Linked DNA regions of Drosophila melanogaster. The protein of the gene in region 1 purifies or fractionates together with the protein of each later gene. This does not show direct contact. Each region holds a gene or a part of one and is shown in the gene's direction. Other genes may lie near its edges. The genes, in order: wds, NC2beta, Ada3 and Atac2.

Region 1 (4,702 bases):
ACCTAAATAAAGTACACTGTTGTGCCAAAGTTAACCAGACAGCTTTTTCTCTTACCTCCCACTCGAAGTCCCCCCCTACAAGGTCTCCTCCTAAAGTCCTAATATCACAAGCGCAGATTCCAATCATCCGTTCTCATCACCTGGCAACCTGGCGACGGCAGGTACTTCTGTTCATCTGTTCATCAATTCATCTGTTCATTTGTTCATCTGTTCCGCTGGTTTATCCATCTACTACTCCCTAGTTTCCTTCTTCTCGTATATGAAAATGATGTCCTCGTCCGTGCCGTAGGCGCGTCGGGCCGTGTCCATGGACTCGATGAGGCAGCGACAAATGTCTGTGGAACGCAGCCAAAAACGAAAATCAATGAATTTTCAAGGATTGCTACCAAATGGAATACTCACGGCCATCGTGGACCTCGGGATTGTGGTAGAAGAGCTTCTGGGCGGCCATGTCATATCCGCAGAGCACCACATAGTGTCCGGCATACCTTTTGGGTCCATGGAGGCGTGTATTTTGAGCAATGCAGGGTATATGAAAACAGCTTTTCATTCGAGTGTGGATTTAAGGTGGTTTTTTGTGAATCGCCGGTGGCAAGAGGAACTCACCCGAACTTCTCTAGGACATTGCGCTTGCACACCTCGCACGTGAGCAGCGAGGCGTTGGTCAGCAGGATGACGGGTCCGTGGCGGGCCAAATGCCGCAGAATGACCTCCATGTCCACGGTGCGCTGTTCAACGCGCAGTCCATGGGCCCGGGCGTCCTTGAACTTGCGCGTCACGCGCCGTTCGTCCTTGTCGATGATCTTGGAGTAGTACGTGTGCTGCGCGTAGTTGGGATCGATCCCGAGCGTTTGGGTGAAGTACTCGTGGCGCACCTGGCCAAGAAGAGAGTGTCAAAGAAGTGAGCGAATGCAAATGTGCATCACGGCATGCCCACCTGGTAGCGCATCAGCAGATAGCACAGGTCGATGGTCCAGGTGCTCGAGCCAAATCCCTCCTCGCCGCACACGGCATCAAAGTTCCCAAGAAGCTGTTCCCTTTGCTGCGCCGACAGGATCATAATGATGCAGGACAGACCGCAGTCCCAGTTGTAGCGCTGCTGGTAGTGCGTCAGGTTGTAGTGCTTGCTCGGCGGCAGTCCGTTCATTCTGGCCAGCAGCTGGGCTCTTCTTGGCTTCTTGTGCTCCTCGGGTCCTCGAGTCCTTGGCTCCGTGTGCTTCGCGTGCTCCTGTGCCCGCGGCTGCGCTCCTTTGATCCTGGCGTCCAATTGGAAACTGAACTGGGAATGTTTTGGTCTAACAGCTTGGGCCAGTGTGGCCAGGTGCAGCTGTCTGCGGAATGCCAACTGTCGGCTATGTCCAGTTGAAAAAAATGCCAATTGAATTTTTTTAGATATATATTGTAAATATTGTAATTAAATAATATTTATACATAAATTGTGAGTCGCCAAAGGAGTTAGATGTATTTTCCTACAAATCTTGGTTGCTGCTAGGAAATTTTTGGTTTGAAATCTTAAAGGCGCAAAAAATGTTCTAACACTATGTAAATCCTTCTTAAGCCCTTCAAAATTGACAGTTCAGTTAGAATTACCTGCAATTTTAAGACTAAATAACTACTGGCAATTGGTATAAATTTAAATGCAACTGTACGCGAAACTTCAAACATGTATGAAACGATCTGGCAACGTCGAGCTAACTGCATGCAATTTGGCATCGATGTGCCCGATGCACTCCCCCTGATAGTTTCAGCGGGAAACTAAGAGTCCCATTCTAGAATCATCCCCCAAGGACGAAAACATCCCAAATCTCCCTAAAAAAAAAAACAAAAAGCAAGGAATCGAGTAAACACGTTCCACCACCGCTGTGGCAATCCGTGGCTGGTGCGCAACGGCCACACTGACGCGCTGACCAATTTTTAGTTATTAGTGTGACCTTAAGCATTATTATTTTCACGTGTGGCACGCAAACGAGCCAAAAAACCAAGCGCCTATTTAAACAAACAAATCACACGCCCAGCAGAGAGAGCAGCCGGTGACCACCGGTAACGGGAGTAGCTGCAGTTAATCCGACAGGCCCAACAAATTCGCCCGCTAATTGGCGGCGTTTCTCTAGTCGGAACAACAAGAAGAAGAAGCACGTGTGCGGCGTGCCAAAGAAAAAAGGAAAATAAACAAGGAGGCCAGGCCAAGGAGCATAAGCAGAATCCGCATCCGGAGGACATGGTGCCCATCGGAGCCGTGCACGGCGGCCATCCCGGCGTAGTGCATCCGCCACAGCAACCACTGCCCACGGCGCCCAGCGGCCCAAACTCGCTGCAGCCGAACTCGGTGGGCCAGCCGGGGGCCACCACCTCCTCGAACAGCAGCGCCTCCAACAAGAGCTCGCTATCCGTCAAGCCCAACTACACGCTCAAGTTCACGCTGGCCGGGCACACCAAGGCGGTGTCGGCGGTCAAGTTCAGTCCGAATGGCGAGTGGCTGGCCAGCTCCTGTAAGTACATACATCCCTATCCACGAATATCTGGGGGGGAATTTTATGGTACTGAACTGCTATTGGACTGAACAGGCAGCTTTGGCAGCTCAGTTAATGGGAATTGGGATGAAATAAGATCTCGGAAAAGAGAAGAAGCATTTATAGAATACATATTGTACATTCCATACATACAGCACATGCCTATTAAACTTCCACTTCTAACCCTCAGCCGCTGATAAACTAATCAAAATCTGGGGAGCATACGATGGCAAGTTCGAGAAGACCATTTCGGGCCACAAGCTGGGCATCAGCGATGTGGCCTGGAGCTCAGACTCGCGACTCCTCGTGAGCGGCAGTGATGACAAGACGCTCAAGGTCTGGGAGCTGAGCACCGGGAAGAGCTTGAAAACTCTGAAGGGCCACAGCAACTATGTGTTCTGCTGCAACTTTAATCCGCAGTCCAATCTGATCGTCTCCGGCAGCTTCGACGAGAGCGTTCGCATATGGGATGTGCGCACCGGCAAGTGTCTGAAGACTCTACCCGCCCATTCCGATCCCGTTTCGGCGGTACATTTCAATCGCGACGGATCGCTGATCGTGAGCAGCAGCTACGACGGCCTCTGTCGCATATGGGACACGGCCAGTGGACAGTGCTTGAAAACCCTGATCGACGACGACAATCCGCCCGTCAGCTTTGTAAAGTTCTCGCCCAATGGCAAGTACATTTTGGCCGCCACGCTGGATAATACGCTCAAGTTGTGGGACTACTCGAAGGGCAAGTGCCTGAAGACGTATACGGGTCACAAGAATGAGAAGTACTGCATATTCGCCAACTTCTCGGTGACGGGAGGAAAGGTGAGTTCATATCTTATGCACATTTAGGCTTTAACTCACAAGCGTCCATTGTAGTGGATCGTGAGTGGCAGCGAGGACAACATGGTCTACATTTGGAATCTGCAGAGCAAGGAGGTGGTGCAAAAGCTGCAGGGACACACCGATACCGTTCTGTGCACCGCCTGCCATCCCACGGAGAACATCATTGCTTCCGCGGCGCTCGAGAACGACAAGACCATCAAGCTGTGGAAGTCGGATACATAGAGTGGCTGGTATCCAGCTGGAGGACGTTCGATCGGAACACACACATACATTTCTTGGATAATATTATTTTAAAGCGAACAGCCTAATCGTAATTGTAACACCCCCACACCCCCCCACCACGAGCCCCCTTTTTTTTTTGTACGCATAATTTAAAAAAGAAAAGGAACTCTAAAATTCTACGTTTAAATCACACTTTAAACCTCACATTCTACGGCAAAACGGAAAAATTACAAACAAACAAACAAAAACAAAAAAAAAAAACAACAAAAAGTGAAAACAAAAAAAACGATTAATGTATAAATATTTATTAGCCTATTGTATTGGCCCACCATGCAAGCGAGAATATTCCCCCAAAATTGTTTGTAACCTTTGACACAGCCACGCAAACCAACATAACTTATAATGATCTTTCGGTGACGAGAAAACTAAATTTAAGCGTAAAAGATACAACAGGTGCTCGGGGCAGAATCCCAGCGCCAGAAAGAATATATATAAAATACGAAATGTAAATTTTGAATAAAAGAAAACACCGTCTCGGCGGCGCCCAAGTGTCCTTTCAACTTGCGCGCTTTTCGAGGCGAGACACTTAAATGTACAAATTGCATTTTATTCACATAATAAGAGAAGTTTTAATTCTAAAAAAACATACAGTTTAGCAAAATTACGAAACAAACGAACCTTCATTACGGTTTAAAAGCGATAATAAGTACGTTTAATATATTACGGTTTTTAAATGAATGAACACAGGTATAATACTTAACGTAGACGTTTTCTTTAAGTTATTTATTTTTAAACTCTAGCGCCTATTGGAGTGCGACCCTGCGTTGAGTTCGGTTGAAGAGGGCCACACTGCCCGTTCAGTTTGAACGTTTGCCACTGGATTTCGACAACGGCGCGCGACGGTCACTTGGCGAAACGAAAATCGAAAAAACCGACGAATCGAAACTCGGAGATCACGGATTCGATTCACTTGATTCAGAACCTTGCCGAATCCGAATGCCCCTGCGATGCGCGCGCCAACCCGCTGAACAAAAGTCGCCAAGTGAATTTTGCAATTAATTTGCAAATCAATATCGCTCCGCCGCCGTCGCGCACACACACACACACGCAAGCACCCGCACCGCGCACACATA
Region 2 (3,034 bases), on another chromosome or scaffold:
ACATTATTTTGAACGGCAAGGTGATCGTACAGAGCGGCGCCATCATTCGCGGCGATCTGGCCAATGTCCGGACGGGAAGATATTGTGTGATTGGCAAGAACTCCGTCATCCGACCGCCGTACAAACAATTCAGCAAGGGAATCGCCTTCTTTCCCATGCACGTCGGTGAGCATGTTTTCGTTGGCGAAGGAGCAGTCGTCTCGGCGGCCACCATTGGATCCTATGTGTACATCGGCAAGAATGCCATCATAGTAAGCTATTACTTATTGTTATACCCTTGTAATCCATTTACTTTTACCATCTTTCAGGGCCGTCGCTGTGTTTTGAAAGACTGCTGTGTAATTGAGGATGGGGCTGTCCTGCCGCCAGAAACTACCGTGTCCAGCTACATGCGTTACACGGCGAGGGGAACCATCGAGGGTGGCCAGGGCAATCCGTATTTTGTGCCCGCCGCCATGCAGGACGAGATGATCAACTACACTAAGTCATTCTACGAGCATTTCGTGAGGGCTCCAGCGCCAGCCAGCTGAAAATCGTGGTGTCTACCAATTCCATCGACAGAAAACATTATTTATGAAATAAACATATTATATTAGTTATTCTATAAGTATGCGCATAGTTTGACTATTAAGTGATTAATCTATCAGTCCCGTTTCGCAGTCGTAGGCTTCCTCGCCGGACTCGAAAATGGGAAAACTCATGCCAGTACGACGGGCAATCACCGAGGCCAGTTCCTCGGAGTTGTTCTCCTTGCGCGGCTGGATGTATCGGTCCAGCAGAAGGACCGTGGCCGTATTCCGACAATTGGACACAGTGGCGGTTATGTGAAGCGGCGTCTGCTTGCCGTCCGATTCCGCATTTACATCGGCGCCAAACTGCAGCAGCAAATGGGCGCAATCCGCATTGTTCCACTTGCAGGCGGAGTGCAATGGCGTCCATCCCAGCTCCGTGCGGGCGTTGGGATTGGCATGGTACTGCAGCAGCAACTTGGCCATATCCACAAAGTTATTATAGGCAGCTCGGTGCAGCGGCGTGTATCCGTCGTTATCCTTGGCGTTCACGGTGTCTGCGTCCAGTTTTAGGATTTCCCGCACCTCGCTGATGCGGTTCTCGTTCACCGCCCACAGAATCATGCGTTCAATGCTGCCTATGATGATGTTTAATTAAACTATTTCTCTAAAATGTATTCTACTTACTTTGTGGGTTCTTGTCCTCTTCGATCAGTTCGTCGGCATCGTCGTCCCAGCCGCTCACGAACATTCCGCGCGGCACTTTGGCGTGGCGCAGCTTCTCCACCTGTGATTTTTCATCATCGGAATCGTAGTCCCCCATTTTGTGGTAATATATTAATAATAAGCCGGAATTTAAACAGCTCAACTTTTTGTTTTCTATTTCTCAAAGTGACCGTTGCTTAGCCGCTTAAGTACACTTAAAAAAATACTAAACACTTAAAAATATACTAAACGAAGAGTGGAGTTTTAAAAAGAACAGTACATTTGGTTTTTCAAATAAAAAAAAAAAAACTATTTATATAAATAATGGTAGGAATTATAAAAAAATTATTCTTTTATTTGAAAAGTCTGCCATTTAAAAAAAGGCTGTATTATTTATAATATTCATCAAAATCAAATTAATCAAAGATTATTAAGCCATTAAATTTGTGTTGAATACATAAATGATATACATCATTTTATATCATCATTTATATATTTTATTTTTAGCTATATATGCTTTATATAGTTCATTTCAATCAATTAATGATTTCATTTATTTACAAAAACAATAATTTTTCGATTACATTTTTCTGTTAGCAGTAAACGGCCACTCTAGCACACTATACTAGTAAATCCGAGAAAAACATCTGCTTCCAAGTTTGTTTGTTTGTTTGTTCCTTGAAACCAGGACGCCATGTCGAATCCGCAGGAAGAACTACTGCCGCCCAGCGCCGAGGACGACGAGCTGACCCTGCCACGGGCCAGCATCAACAAGATCATCAAGGAGCTGGTGCCCACGGTGCGGGTGGCCAACGAGAGTCGCGAGCTGATACTCAACTGCTGCTCAGAGTTCATTCATCTGATCAGTTCGGAGGCCAACGAGGTGTGCAACATGCGCAACAAGAAGACGATAAACGCAGAGCACGTCCTGGAGGCGTTGGAACGCTTGGGTTTTCACGACTACAAACAAGAGGCGGAGGCCGTTCTGCACGACTGCAAGGAGGTGGCAGCCAAGCGAAGGCGCCAGAGCACGCGCCTAGAGAACCTGGGCATTCCGGAGGAGGAGCTGCTGCGCCAGCAGCAGGAGCTGTTCGCCAAGGCACGCGAGGAGCAGGCGCGCGAGGAGCAGCAGCAGTGGATGAGCATGCAAGCGGCAGCAATGGTGCAGCGACCACCGCTGGCAGACGGCTCCGTTGCCAGCAAGCCAAGTGAGGATGACGATGACGATGACGACGACGACTACTAGTAGGAAATAGTCTTTCTATGAGCTTAGTGTAGATTTAATCTTAAAATATATGCCATAAGTTGAACTTTCAACTATTAGCTACTCTTCATTACGGATCATCCGTTTGTCCTTCACTCCAGCAGCCTGGGCACCGCATCCTCAATCTCCGAAACGACTTCCTTAGATGTATCGTAACTTTAATCTTTAAAAATGCAAGACTATTCGTTATTATATCAGCTGGTACCAGCCAGATTTTGTGGCTCCTCCGCCTCATTGTCATCCTTGCCATTTATTTGCATCTCCACCAATCGGGGAAAAGTTTGTGGTGCGTCGTATGTGCCTGGCACATATTTTCCCAATATTTCGGTGTGTTCCTTCCAGAACTGCGAAGATATCAGATCCTCGTGCAGCGGCACCACGGCCTGCCTGCTCTTCTCACCCAATATCACGCGTTTTCTCAGCAGAATCGTTCCCTTTCTGTACATTGCCGGCAGATTGTTGTAATTTATCCCGAATTCCTGGAAGAGCAGCTCATTTTTGTCCGCCGAAAAGGTGCCACGGAGTTTCGCCTCGGCTTGCTGGTTCGTCAGGCCTT
Region 3 (4,968 bases), about 15 Mb from region 1:
AACATGTGCTAGTGCCGTTTTCAAACAACAGCTGACACACAAAAGCCCCATAATCGCTGAGACATCGCCGGAACGGAACACATCGACGACGACGACGACACACGTAGACGCAAATATTTGATCAATAAAACAAGAGCGGAGGGTTTGTTCAGGTTTTGGCGGCACTGCAAATACCCTTACCCGCCCGCGGTTATTGTTCGACATATTGTTCTAGATATTATGTGCAATCCACGATGGGATTATCTCGCAAAACAAACGTGTTTGTGTGTACACTATCCTTTCTATGACGAGATATAAATTCAAATTAGCTACGATTTTCAGTTGTTCTATCTACCAGATGATATTCACATTGCCAAGATTGCAAATAGCAAAAACAAAGAATTAACTAAAGAAACAAAGAACTATATAGACTGATGATCACTTTTTACTTGAGATAATAGATGGGGGAAGCTTGTATTTATCTTTGTATTGAAGAACAAACAAAAGAAACTCGAAACGAATATATCACTTCTCTTTAATGTACACATCTTATGGAATACAAAACATGAAACCAAGCTTAAATAAAACACTTTTGTCCGCTGTTCATTTATATTAAATTGTTTTCACTGTTTATTTTAGGATCTTTAGAACCGAAACTCTCGGGGATCGAATTTTAACTTAAACAATACACTTCGCACTTTTTGATTGTAAAATAGACAAGTCGAAGTTAAGTTAATTGGCGTAGAACGAAAATAAAAAACTTTTGCAGTTCGGTGATAGATCATAGCTTAAAGGTGGCATTGCAAACCTCTTCTGATAGCGAAAATGCCCAGTTGGGAAAGTGTAGTCAAATCGAAGGGAAACAGCGTTTTGAAGCTGGGATATTTGTGCATATGTCGGCACGACTGAACCCAACTAAACCGAACTGAATCGCTGGATGTTGGCTTTTGATTTTCGTTGATTCCCGCCCGCGGGGAGGGGGGGTGTGGTCGTGAGCAGCGAAGGGGGCGTGGCGGCTGAGCGTCAATTCGACTTGTCTTGTGATTTGCGCCTCACAATTGGACAAACGAGGCGCAATTGGAGGCAACCAGTCCGAGATTATCGGATGCTTCGATGTTTTGGGTGCTTGGATGTTCAAATGTTTGGATGTGTTTGCATGCTTTGTGGGATTTTGGGGGGGTGGGGTTTGGGAAATGGGTGTTCAATTACATAAAATTACATACATACACTGCAGTTTGCACTTGCAGTTCGTCTGCGGAAGGGGGGGAATGGGTCTACTCTAACATCGCAAGCTGCTCCCACTGGCCATTACAAATTGTCAACAGTCGCTGATTTGTTAAGTACACTGCTTATCACCGAAATAGCGCGCATATCACTAAAAAATTCAGACGACGACGGGCGAAATGCGAACGCCAAACAACAACAAAGAACTGAACAAAAAAGCAAAGTATTGGTAAGCACGCGCGCTACGCGGCCACCAGTGTTGCACAGCGCTGGAGCAGCTCTGTTGTGCACGATCACTGTTATAGTTGCAGAGAGTATTTTTCACTATTTTGTGGATAAAATCAAGTGGTATGAAAATGTATCCATGCGATAATGTTCCGTTATCTTCAATTGCTGAAATAAAGTCAAATAAACAGTTTCAATTACTGCTAAAGTTAATTAATGAAATGCTAGTTAAGTATGTCTTAAATTATAAATATTTAGCTACTCATGAGAATTTTTTTTGTTTGGCCCACTGTGCATAACCCGCGCGTGTAGCCCATTCCAGTATTTTACCATCTTGTACATTAGTATTTACCCGTCTTCCGCTACGGTCACACTGCCATATCGACGCAAAACAAATTGCGATTTTCACAACACAAGAAAAGCAGGAAAAACAGCAAATATATCCGCAATCTAGCTAACACACAGGTCCCCAACCAGTCGCAGTCGCGTTCCATGAGTGCGAACCTGAAGAATATCAAACTGGCCCACTTCAGTGGTTCGCTCGGTTCCGGTGGCTTTGGCATCTCTGCGTCATCCGGAGGAGCTGGAAAACTGCCCACAAATGGCACAGGTGGCGGCAAATCCGCCCCAACGAGCACCTTCCTGGACTCCGAGGTGCTGGCCACGCCCGGCGGCGTCGTTATACCAATAATTCGCACTCGGGACGTGCCCAAATTGCTGCCCACCATTGCAGCGGCACTGCAGCGTCCGGCGGATGATCATTTGGCGGCCGAGGATCTGGATGCAGTGCAACTGGAGCTGGAACAGATGCTCTCCAATGTGGCGCTGCGCACGCGCGTCCTGAAAGCGGAGTATGATAGCCTCGACAAGGATGAGAAGCGCCAGGATCGAAGAAAGCTCGACCGTGTGCCTGGATCGCCACCTTGTCCGGCTAGCATGCTCAACGGCTTGCTGGGCATCGGCAGCAACTCGTCGACGAGTCTGGGCAGCCCGCTGGGCGGCGGAGGCGCCTCATCCTCTAGCCAATCGAAGCGCAAGCGGGATGAGCCAACGGGCGTGCGCAAAAAGCACTCTTCGATGACCATTCTCAAGCAACAGGGCGTTTCCGGCGGCACCTCGAAGCACCAGGCCAAGAACAGCCCCTTGGTCGTGCACACCGACGACAGCATGGACTATCTGCCCACACTGGCGGCCGCCAATGCCTCTGGATCCGTGCTGCCGCATCACCAGCCGCTGCCGCAGCTACCGAAAATGACGGTGCCCAAGAACGATACGCCCAACAAGTTCTGGCTATCCGTGGAGCCCTACTGCATGCCTCTAACCAACGAGGATCTGCGCCTAATCGATGACCTGCTGGAGCAGTATTGGGGTCCACTGGTGCCGCCAGTGCCACCTCTGGGTCCCCACTACTCCACAGTTTGGGCCCAGGAGGATATAAAGGCGCTGCAGCCGGGCGGAGCTCGAATTAAATCGAACAATTCCAGCGGAATGCTCAAAAAGGCCGAAGGCATGGTGGATGAGAGCATCACTGGTCCACTCACCCAGCGTTTGGTGTCCGCCTTAATGGAGGAGTCCCTGATGACGCTGCCCAGCGAACAGGCCGCCGTGGGCGAGCACAGCAACAGCACCACGAGCAGCAGCAACGAGAACACCCACTCGCACTCCTCGTCCTCGGCAAATGCTGCCGCAGCAGCTGCTTCCGGGAACTTTCGATCTCTCGCCATGATGAAACACGGCGTGGGCATCGAACAGCGCCTGAAGAAGACTCTCATCGAGAACGGACTGATCGATGCCAGTGAGTTTGCGGCCCACGAAGACGTGGACGAGGTGCTGATGGAGATCAAGCGCGTAACGACCGAAATCAGCACCATTTCGCAGTTTAACAGCGAGGAATTGAAGCGACTGCGTGCCGTTGCCAGTGAGGAAATCAAGCGCATTGCCATCAAACAGAAATTGGACATGGTGGACCAGGAGATACTCGAGTGCTACAAGCGAATGCTGCAGTATCGGGCCAAGCGCAAGGGCCACACCATCGAGGAGAAGCAGGAGATACTGCGGCTGACCAACGAGCAGCGCCTACTTGCGGATCAGCTGGAGCGTATGCAGATGCATCTGCCCTGCATCGGCGGCTCCGGCAACTCCCTGTTAGAGCCAAAGATGTAGGACAGGAGCCTGGCCTGGGGCTGGTGCCAGCTAATGGCCATGCATCAGGCAAAGAGGCAGGTCCGCGACGCTAGCCTCAAGCTGCAGTGCGTCTGAAGGAGCTGCTCCTCCTTACTCGCCACTCCTTTCATTTCGCCAGACTGTAAATTAGCCACGCTATTCGACACGTACACGTAGCCTCTAGTGTCCGCAATCCAAGTTGTGGACGTTTTGGGAAGATGCGCTCATGGTGGCGGAAAATGTTTTGCATAAGTTTTCCTCGAGTTTTGGCATTCGTTTTCCCCAAATCGAACGCCACTTTTGAGTCGTTTTCGACTAGCTTCCAAACCCGTATTCTTATCTTCGTCACCAGACTGTACATTAACAAAGATACATTAGCTCATAGAATGTAGTGTTCAAGATTAAAGTGAAATTAATTATTTAGATAAGATCTTCAAGTGGCGGAGAGTAGCGTTTGCGTATTTTAAACTGTTCTTTTACAAAATCATAATTTCCCTTTCCTTGCTTAGTAACGTATTCCGTATTCTGTAAGCCTACAGTTTTTTGCCAATTTGTTTGTAATTGCCTGAAAATTAAATGGATATCCGTAGATTTTACATGCTAAATGCTAAATTTGATTTTGTGTACATAAAAGTGGAGGGTGAGATTCGCATTATTCGCTAAATGAACTGAAAAACTTTCCGCTACTGGAATTTCCCAAAATTTTACGAGCACGTTGTTTTCCTCATGTCTTTCGCAACTATAAATATTGATTCACCCTATTTAACACTCCCAAATACATACACTTTGTATAGCTTAAGTTATCGCGCGGCAATAAAGTCGTCACTATCGAGAGTAAAGCACAGAATTTTCCACCATGGGAGTGAGTTTGGGAGGAGAGAAACCACCGCGCTGGGCGAACGCTGCGTACGCTTTGAGCTCGATCTGGCCGACGAAGCGGGCAAGTGAACTCCAGCGGATGTGGGGAATCCTCTGCCGTTGCTTCGATCTTGTTTGCCCAGCCGATAAGGCGCAATCAAAGTCGGCAACTCCAGCGTACGGCTAATTAAAGCCAAACAAGCGAGCCGGCCATCTTCGATCGGAGGAAGCCCTTCCGGGCCACGCGGATTGGCTATCTCTAGAACGCTAATCGCCAGGCAAATATATCCAGAAACAAACTTTATTATACGTAGCAAATGGCAGTCAAATCTGATCTTCTAATATGTGCAAGTTTTTAGTCTTGGGTGAACACGTCGTCAGTGGCCTTCCTCTGAATGTATGCTAGATGATGTTTGTGGGTATAAAGATTCATTGTACTTCATGTATGCCGCGGTGCATCTTGCTTGACTGGTCGATCCCTTTCGCCCGCCACCCGATCCCGTATCACAAACGCAGTCA
Region 4 (4,937 bases), on another chromosome or scaffold:
AGCTAAGGTGCAATAAGTCTGGTGATTGAGAGCAAATACGGTTGTTATGAACAAAATGGGTGGCCAAACAAATTCTAACCAGCATCGCATCTGTAAATGTCATAATCAGCTAGTAAACGACTATCCAATTTGTCAAGCTCTTTCCAGAAAATATTTACCCTCGAGCTTTAAGTGATTTATGAGTGAAACTCATTTTAACTTTCGCAAAACTAAGATATAGATATACTTTAAAACATAATTCGGGGATATACTTTTGGCTGTAGTAGCACCAACAAATTAATTTGTTTCACCATATTTTTCGCTCTTTTCGACTTGCCAGCGGGCAGTCGCGAATTAAATGAAAATCTCCTCGAGGCGCCAGACAAGCAAGTTGAAAGGAATTCAACTACAGATATTAAAGGCAGGGAAGAACTTGAAGTGCAATATTCAAATTGAATTGAAAACGATGAGTGTTGAAGTGAAATCGTAAATAGGTGCATATCCTGTAAGATGCACAAACTGCATGCTTTGCAGTAATAATCATTCGGCAAATAGAAAGTGATTTACAAAAGAAACAATTGTGGATCCGTTCAGCTTTGGTTCTCAACTGAATACCCCACTTAGCCGGCCTGCAGTTTCGACCATCCCACTTCAGTCCATAAACCAATCATGCACTTCATCAAACACACAACAACAGCAGAAGCAGAAGCAGAAGCAACAGCTTCGCCAGAACGCAGCAGCCGGCGATGCCTAATTAGGCCCGCTTAAGACAACACACTGACCGGGCCAAAAGCAATGGGGCCAGGTCCGATGGTCGATGGTCTGCCGGAAACAGCCTTAATTATGCGTAAGCCGTAAAGAGCCCATTAATGTCATTTTCGTTGCATGGCCAAAGGACGCTGGGCGTTGGGTGGTGGGTGGTGGGCGTTGGTACTAATGTGCTTGGTGGGCGTAGGGCGTGACAAACGCATGCTTGATCAAGCGAAACGGGACTGTACTAATCAAGCGGATTCTTATCTTCTAGATAGGGAGAACATAAAAAACAATCGGGATCTTTTATATAGTGTATATAAGGGCATAAGGATATGCTAGATTCGTTGAAAAGTAGGTAACTGGCATAAGAAATAACAAAAGAAAAAGTCATTCCCGACAGTATTAAGCATATATATGTAATCAGGATCAGTGGACGAGTCGATTAAAACGTGTCCTTCTGTTCGTCCGTATAAGCGCTGTGATCTCGGGAACTTAAAAGTTAGGAAGCTAAGATGGAGCAATCAGATTCTAGACATGTAGACGCATCACAGTTTGTTTCAGAAGAATGCCACGCCCACTCTAACGCCCACCAAGAGCTCAAAACTTTTAAAAAGTGTTTTGATATTTGCTTGCAATTTCTAAAAATGTGACAAGAAAATGTTGAATACACCTGAGAAGAGGGTATATAATATGCGAAGACCATAGCCTTGTCTCTGTTCCATATTAATTAAAAATGCTTATTTATGACATTTTAACAATAAAAAATTATTTTAAATTATGTTAATGCTGACATCTTCGGCATTTTAAAACGGCAATGTTAATAAATAAATAAGTGCTTAATAATAATATGTTTTGTAGTGCTTCAGAAAAGATCAATTAAGAATACAAATTAATTTTATTTTTTGTTTTCCCAATTCAAATTATTGACAAATTTGAACCGAGCACAGTGCGATTTTTTGGTATTTTCAAAATGTAAGCTTCTCATATATATGGTATAAACCAAAAAGTGCGAAACGGTAACACACAAACAACACATTATTTTGTTGATTGTTTTTAACTTGCAATTTGTGCTGTTTTACTGAGTAAATGAATCGGCCCAGTAACTGGGATGATCCCCAGGGACCATGCCGCTACTGTGAATCGCCGGTGGAGGACGACAACTACCTGGAGTGCCAGGAATGCAGGCGGATGGTTCACATCAAATGCCTGCCGCATGCTTGCACGCCCGGAGATCTTTTAGGCGACGTTTTCTTCGAGTTCACGTGCGTCAAGTGTGTGCTGGATAAAGCTAAGGAATCGGTCATACCCTCAGATCTAGAACCCATTAAGGAAGTGATCGTGCGCCAAAGGATACCTTGGCTGCTGGTGCTCACCCTAACGCTCTACAATCTGTCCATCAAACAAAAGGGCTTGGGACACCATGGATTCTTCCATTGGCGCACGCACATCATCAGTTTTGTGGACAAGAACTGGAACTATATATTCGGTCCCAATGTGTAAGTATTCGTAAATGAATAATTTCCGGAGAACACATTCAATTTATTCCCCTTGTTCAGGCGGCGTCGCAAGCAATGGACTGGTTCCGTATCCGGCGCACTGTCCCACAACAGTCCGGAGTACTTTCAGTCTGGTCTGGATGTCTTTCAGGAGAACGGCTGGTGGAAACTGGCCAAGCCCTTTCAAACCCCAAGAAGCGTTCTCAAAGAATGTAAGTGCCACTTAAGTTAATGATATGATAGATTTCACAAGTCGTCACATTTCAGATGAGAAAAAGCAACAGTTGCGGCTACAAATGCGTATTGAAAAGCGGTTGCCTGCAGCGGACGAGACCAGCTGTAGCAGCGAGATCTCAGTGGCGGATCATGCCCAGGATAACCCACCGCTTATTAAAGCAGAAGCTGAGAAACCCAGTTCAACAGAGGGCTGTGCGCGAACAATGTAAGATAATTAATTTTGAATACAACTATGCGTTCCTTTCATTAAAATCTTTCACTTTTATTCCAGTCCCTACATGGGCCGTTTGCCAAAGATACAAACACAACCTTCACCCTTGTCACAGGAAACGCTTCCAGGGCCACCAATTCTTCAAGAAAATATAGCGCCACCAAGTCAGAAGGAGGAAGAACCACAGAATCAGCCTATGAGCATGGTCCAAGCAGGCCTGATGGATTTTCTGGCTGAAAGTTTGGAAAGCGATGATTTTACCATGTTTGGTAACCTACCAGGCATAATGCCCCCACCCCTGATTGGAGCGGGTAAAAATGATTTCTTCATGACCGAGCCGTTGCTTCACGCACCTTTGAATAATGAAGGTCTTTTCGACATGGATACAAATTTTGCCATACCAAATACCGCTGATGAGACCAAACCCATATCAACAGAAGAACCTGCAGCCGAAAGCAGCGAGGAACAAAAAGAAGGCGAGGTAGAAGATGAAAAGCCAGAAGAGGACGAATCACCCGACTATCAGCCACGCATCGTACAGGTTACAAATTACCAGGCGCAAGAGGCAAACGAAAGCATCAAAGAGGAACCACTAGAAGAGATAATGCAAGATGATGACGTCACGACAAATAGCAAATCCTCTATCCTAGAGCCTTGCAAACCGAGTGGATTTGTCAGACAACCACGGCGAAATTGGCCCTGGTTGCAGGAGGCGCAGGATCCCGATGACATGGCCATTCCTAGCGAAAATCTCAAACTAATAAATGCATACGAAGAACAGAAGTTGTACCAGCGACTCGATAGAATATTCGCACTGGAGCATCAGTGCCACATATCCATACCTGCCTATGTGCGGCGCCTATATCGAAAACTTTCTCTTCGAAAATGGAAAAGGGACCACAATCGACACATATTTAACTTGGACGAGCACATAGATCCCCTGGGAAGAGCACGCCTAAAGATGCTGGGTCATCAGAAGGCCGAAATTCTTGACAGATATCAGTTGTTAGCCCATTCACGACAAGATGCAAGGAGCTCCTTTCACGCCCGCCTGGCGGGATGCACTCAATACGAGCTCTTTGAATCGCCCTACTCTCAAAGAGTTCTTCATCCATTTATCTTTCGGAGCGAAACGATGGCTCCTCCATGGCTGAAGCTTATGTGCGAGCTGCAGCATAGAGTAAACGGATCTCATCCCACAAGATCTACCATCGACTTCTGTTTTGTGAGACCGCAGCATATTCCGGCCGTAAACGCATTACTCCAAAGTACTTTTTGGCCAAACATTGATGGTGGGTTTCATGATTTTCTTTTTAGCTTTTTTAATGTACAAATTTGTATGATTTTTTCCCTTTTAGTAAGCGAGTGTTTGAGCTACCCGGACTACAGTGTAGTGGCGTTGTACAAGAAACTGGTCATCGGTTGCGGATTCCTAGTGCCCGACGTAGGTTACAACGAGGCCTACATCTCATTCATGGCGGTGCGGCCGTGCTGGCAACGCAGTGGCATCGCCAGCTTCATGTTATATCACCTTATCCAGACATGTATGTCCAAGGACATAACGTTGCACGTTTCCGCCACCAACGCGGCCGTCATGTTGTACCAGAAATTCGGATTTAAGATGGAGGAAATCATCTTGGACTTTTATGACAAGTATCTGCCTCTGGACTCGAAACAGAGCAGAAATGCCTTCTTTTTGAGATTACAAAGATGAGACTTTTTTCAAATAAATGGTTTATGAATCTAAAGTTTCAAAAGACTATTTCGAAAGAGAATTTTTGGTTGCCAAGGTATGGCTTTGGCGCACCCAACTTTATTAGTTTTAAATTTTAACCTAAAGTAGTTCTGCTTAGAATTTGCCAAATTTAGGCGAATATTTTTTCCTCCCTGCGCTTTTTGGTAACCACCGTGCCAGGCTTGTGCTGCGCTTCCGGGTGATTCATTAGCTCCGGCGGACAGGTCGAGACAGGACTTGCAGACACACATTGCTTTAGATCGTAGAACAAAGCGCTATCGTCCTTGGTGACAAACGAAATGGCACAACCGGTTTTGCCGGCACGACCCGTACGACCGATACGATGTGTGTAATCCTCGATGGTCTTGGCCATGTCATAGTTAATAACCAAGGACACGTCCTTGATGTCGATACCACGACCAGCGACGTCGGTGGCCACCAGGATGTCCTTTGCGCCTGACTTCAAAGCAGCCAAAGCATACTCTCTCTGCTCCTGACCCTTGCCACCGTGCAATGTGCACGAGTT

What was found.
Region 2: the proteins of wds (region 1) and NC2beta purify together in Drosophila melanogaster (affinity purification with mass spectrometry, with the first as the bait; 2 studies listed by BioGRID). This does not show direct contact.
Region 3: the proteins of wds (region 1) and Ada3 purify together in Drosophila melanogaster (affinity purification with mass spectrometry, with the first as the bait; 2 studies listed by BioGRID). This does not show direct contact.
Region 4: the proteins of wds (region 1) and Atac2 purify together in Drosophila melanogaster (affinity purification with mass spectrometry; 4 studies listed by BioGRID). This does not show direct contact.

Annotation. Positions count from the first base shown.
Region 1 is NC_004354.4:2,584,061-2,588,762, forward strand, and holds wds (will die slowly), read left to right. Parts: upstream 1-1,919; 5' UTR 1,920-2,218; coding exon 2,219-2,489; intron 2,490-2,700; coding exon 2,701-3,326; intron 3,327-3,380; coding exon 3,381-3,569; 3' UTR 3,570-4,157; downstream 4,158-4,702. Other genes in the region: CG13760 (uncharacterized protein), read right to left, coding at 232-335, 403-542, 607-875, 938-1,147.
Region 2 is NT_033779.5:15,006,010-15,009,043, forward strand, and holds NC2beta (negative cofactor 2beta), read left to right. Parts: upstream 1-1,803; 5' UTR 1,804-1,908; coding exon 1,909-2,460; 3' UTR 2,461-2,529; downstream 2,530-3,034. Other genes in the region: DCTN5-p25 (dynactin 5, p25 subunit), read left to right, coding at 1-251, 309-530; Ankrd49, read right to left, coding at 636-1,147, 1,197-1,332; THG (tRNA-histidine guanylyltransferase), read right to left, coding at 2,673-3,034. UniProt on the Drosophila melanogaster protein: Bifunctional basic transcription factor. Activates transcription of DPE (Downstream Promoter Element) containing promoters while repressing transcription of promoters which contain TATA elements.
Region 3 is NC_004354.4:18,083,992-18,088,959, forward strand, and holds Ada3 (transcriptional adaptor 3), read left to right. Parts: upstream 1-1,769; 5' UTR 1,770-1,920; coding exon 1,921-3,591; coding exon of another isoform or gene 3,592-3,687; 3' UTR 3,688-4,427; downstream 4,428-4,968.
Region 4 is NT_033779.5:18,609,060-18,613,996, reverse strand, and holds Atac2 (Ada2a-containing complex component 2), read left to right. Parts: upstream 1-1,747; 5' UTR 1,748-1,818; coding exon 1,819-2,228; intron 2,229-2,288; coding exon 2,289-2,440; intron 2,441-2,495; coding exon 2,496-2,670; intron 2,671-2,736; coding exon 2,737-3,968; intron 3,969-4,034; coding exon 4,035-4,390; 3' UTR 4,391-4,421; downstream 4,422-4,937. Other genes in the region: CG10333 (uncharacterized protein), read right to left, coding at 4,542-4,937.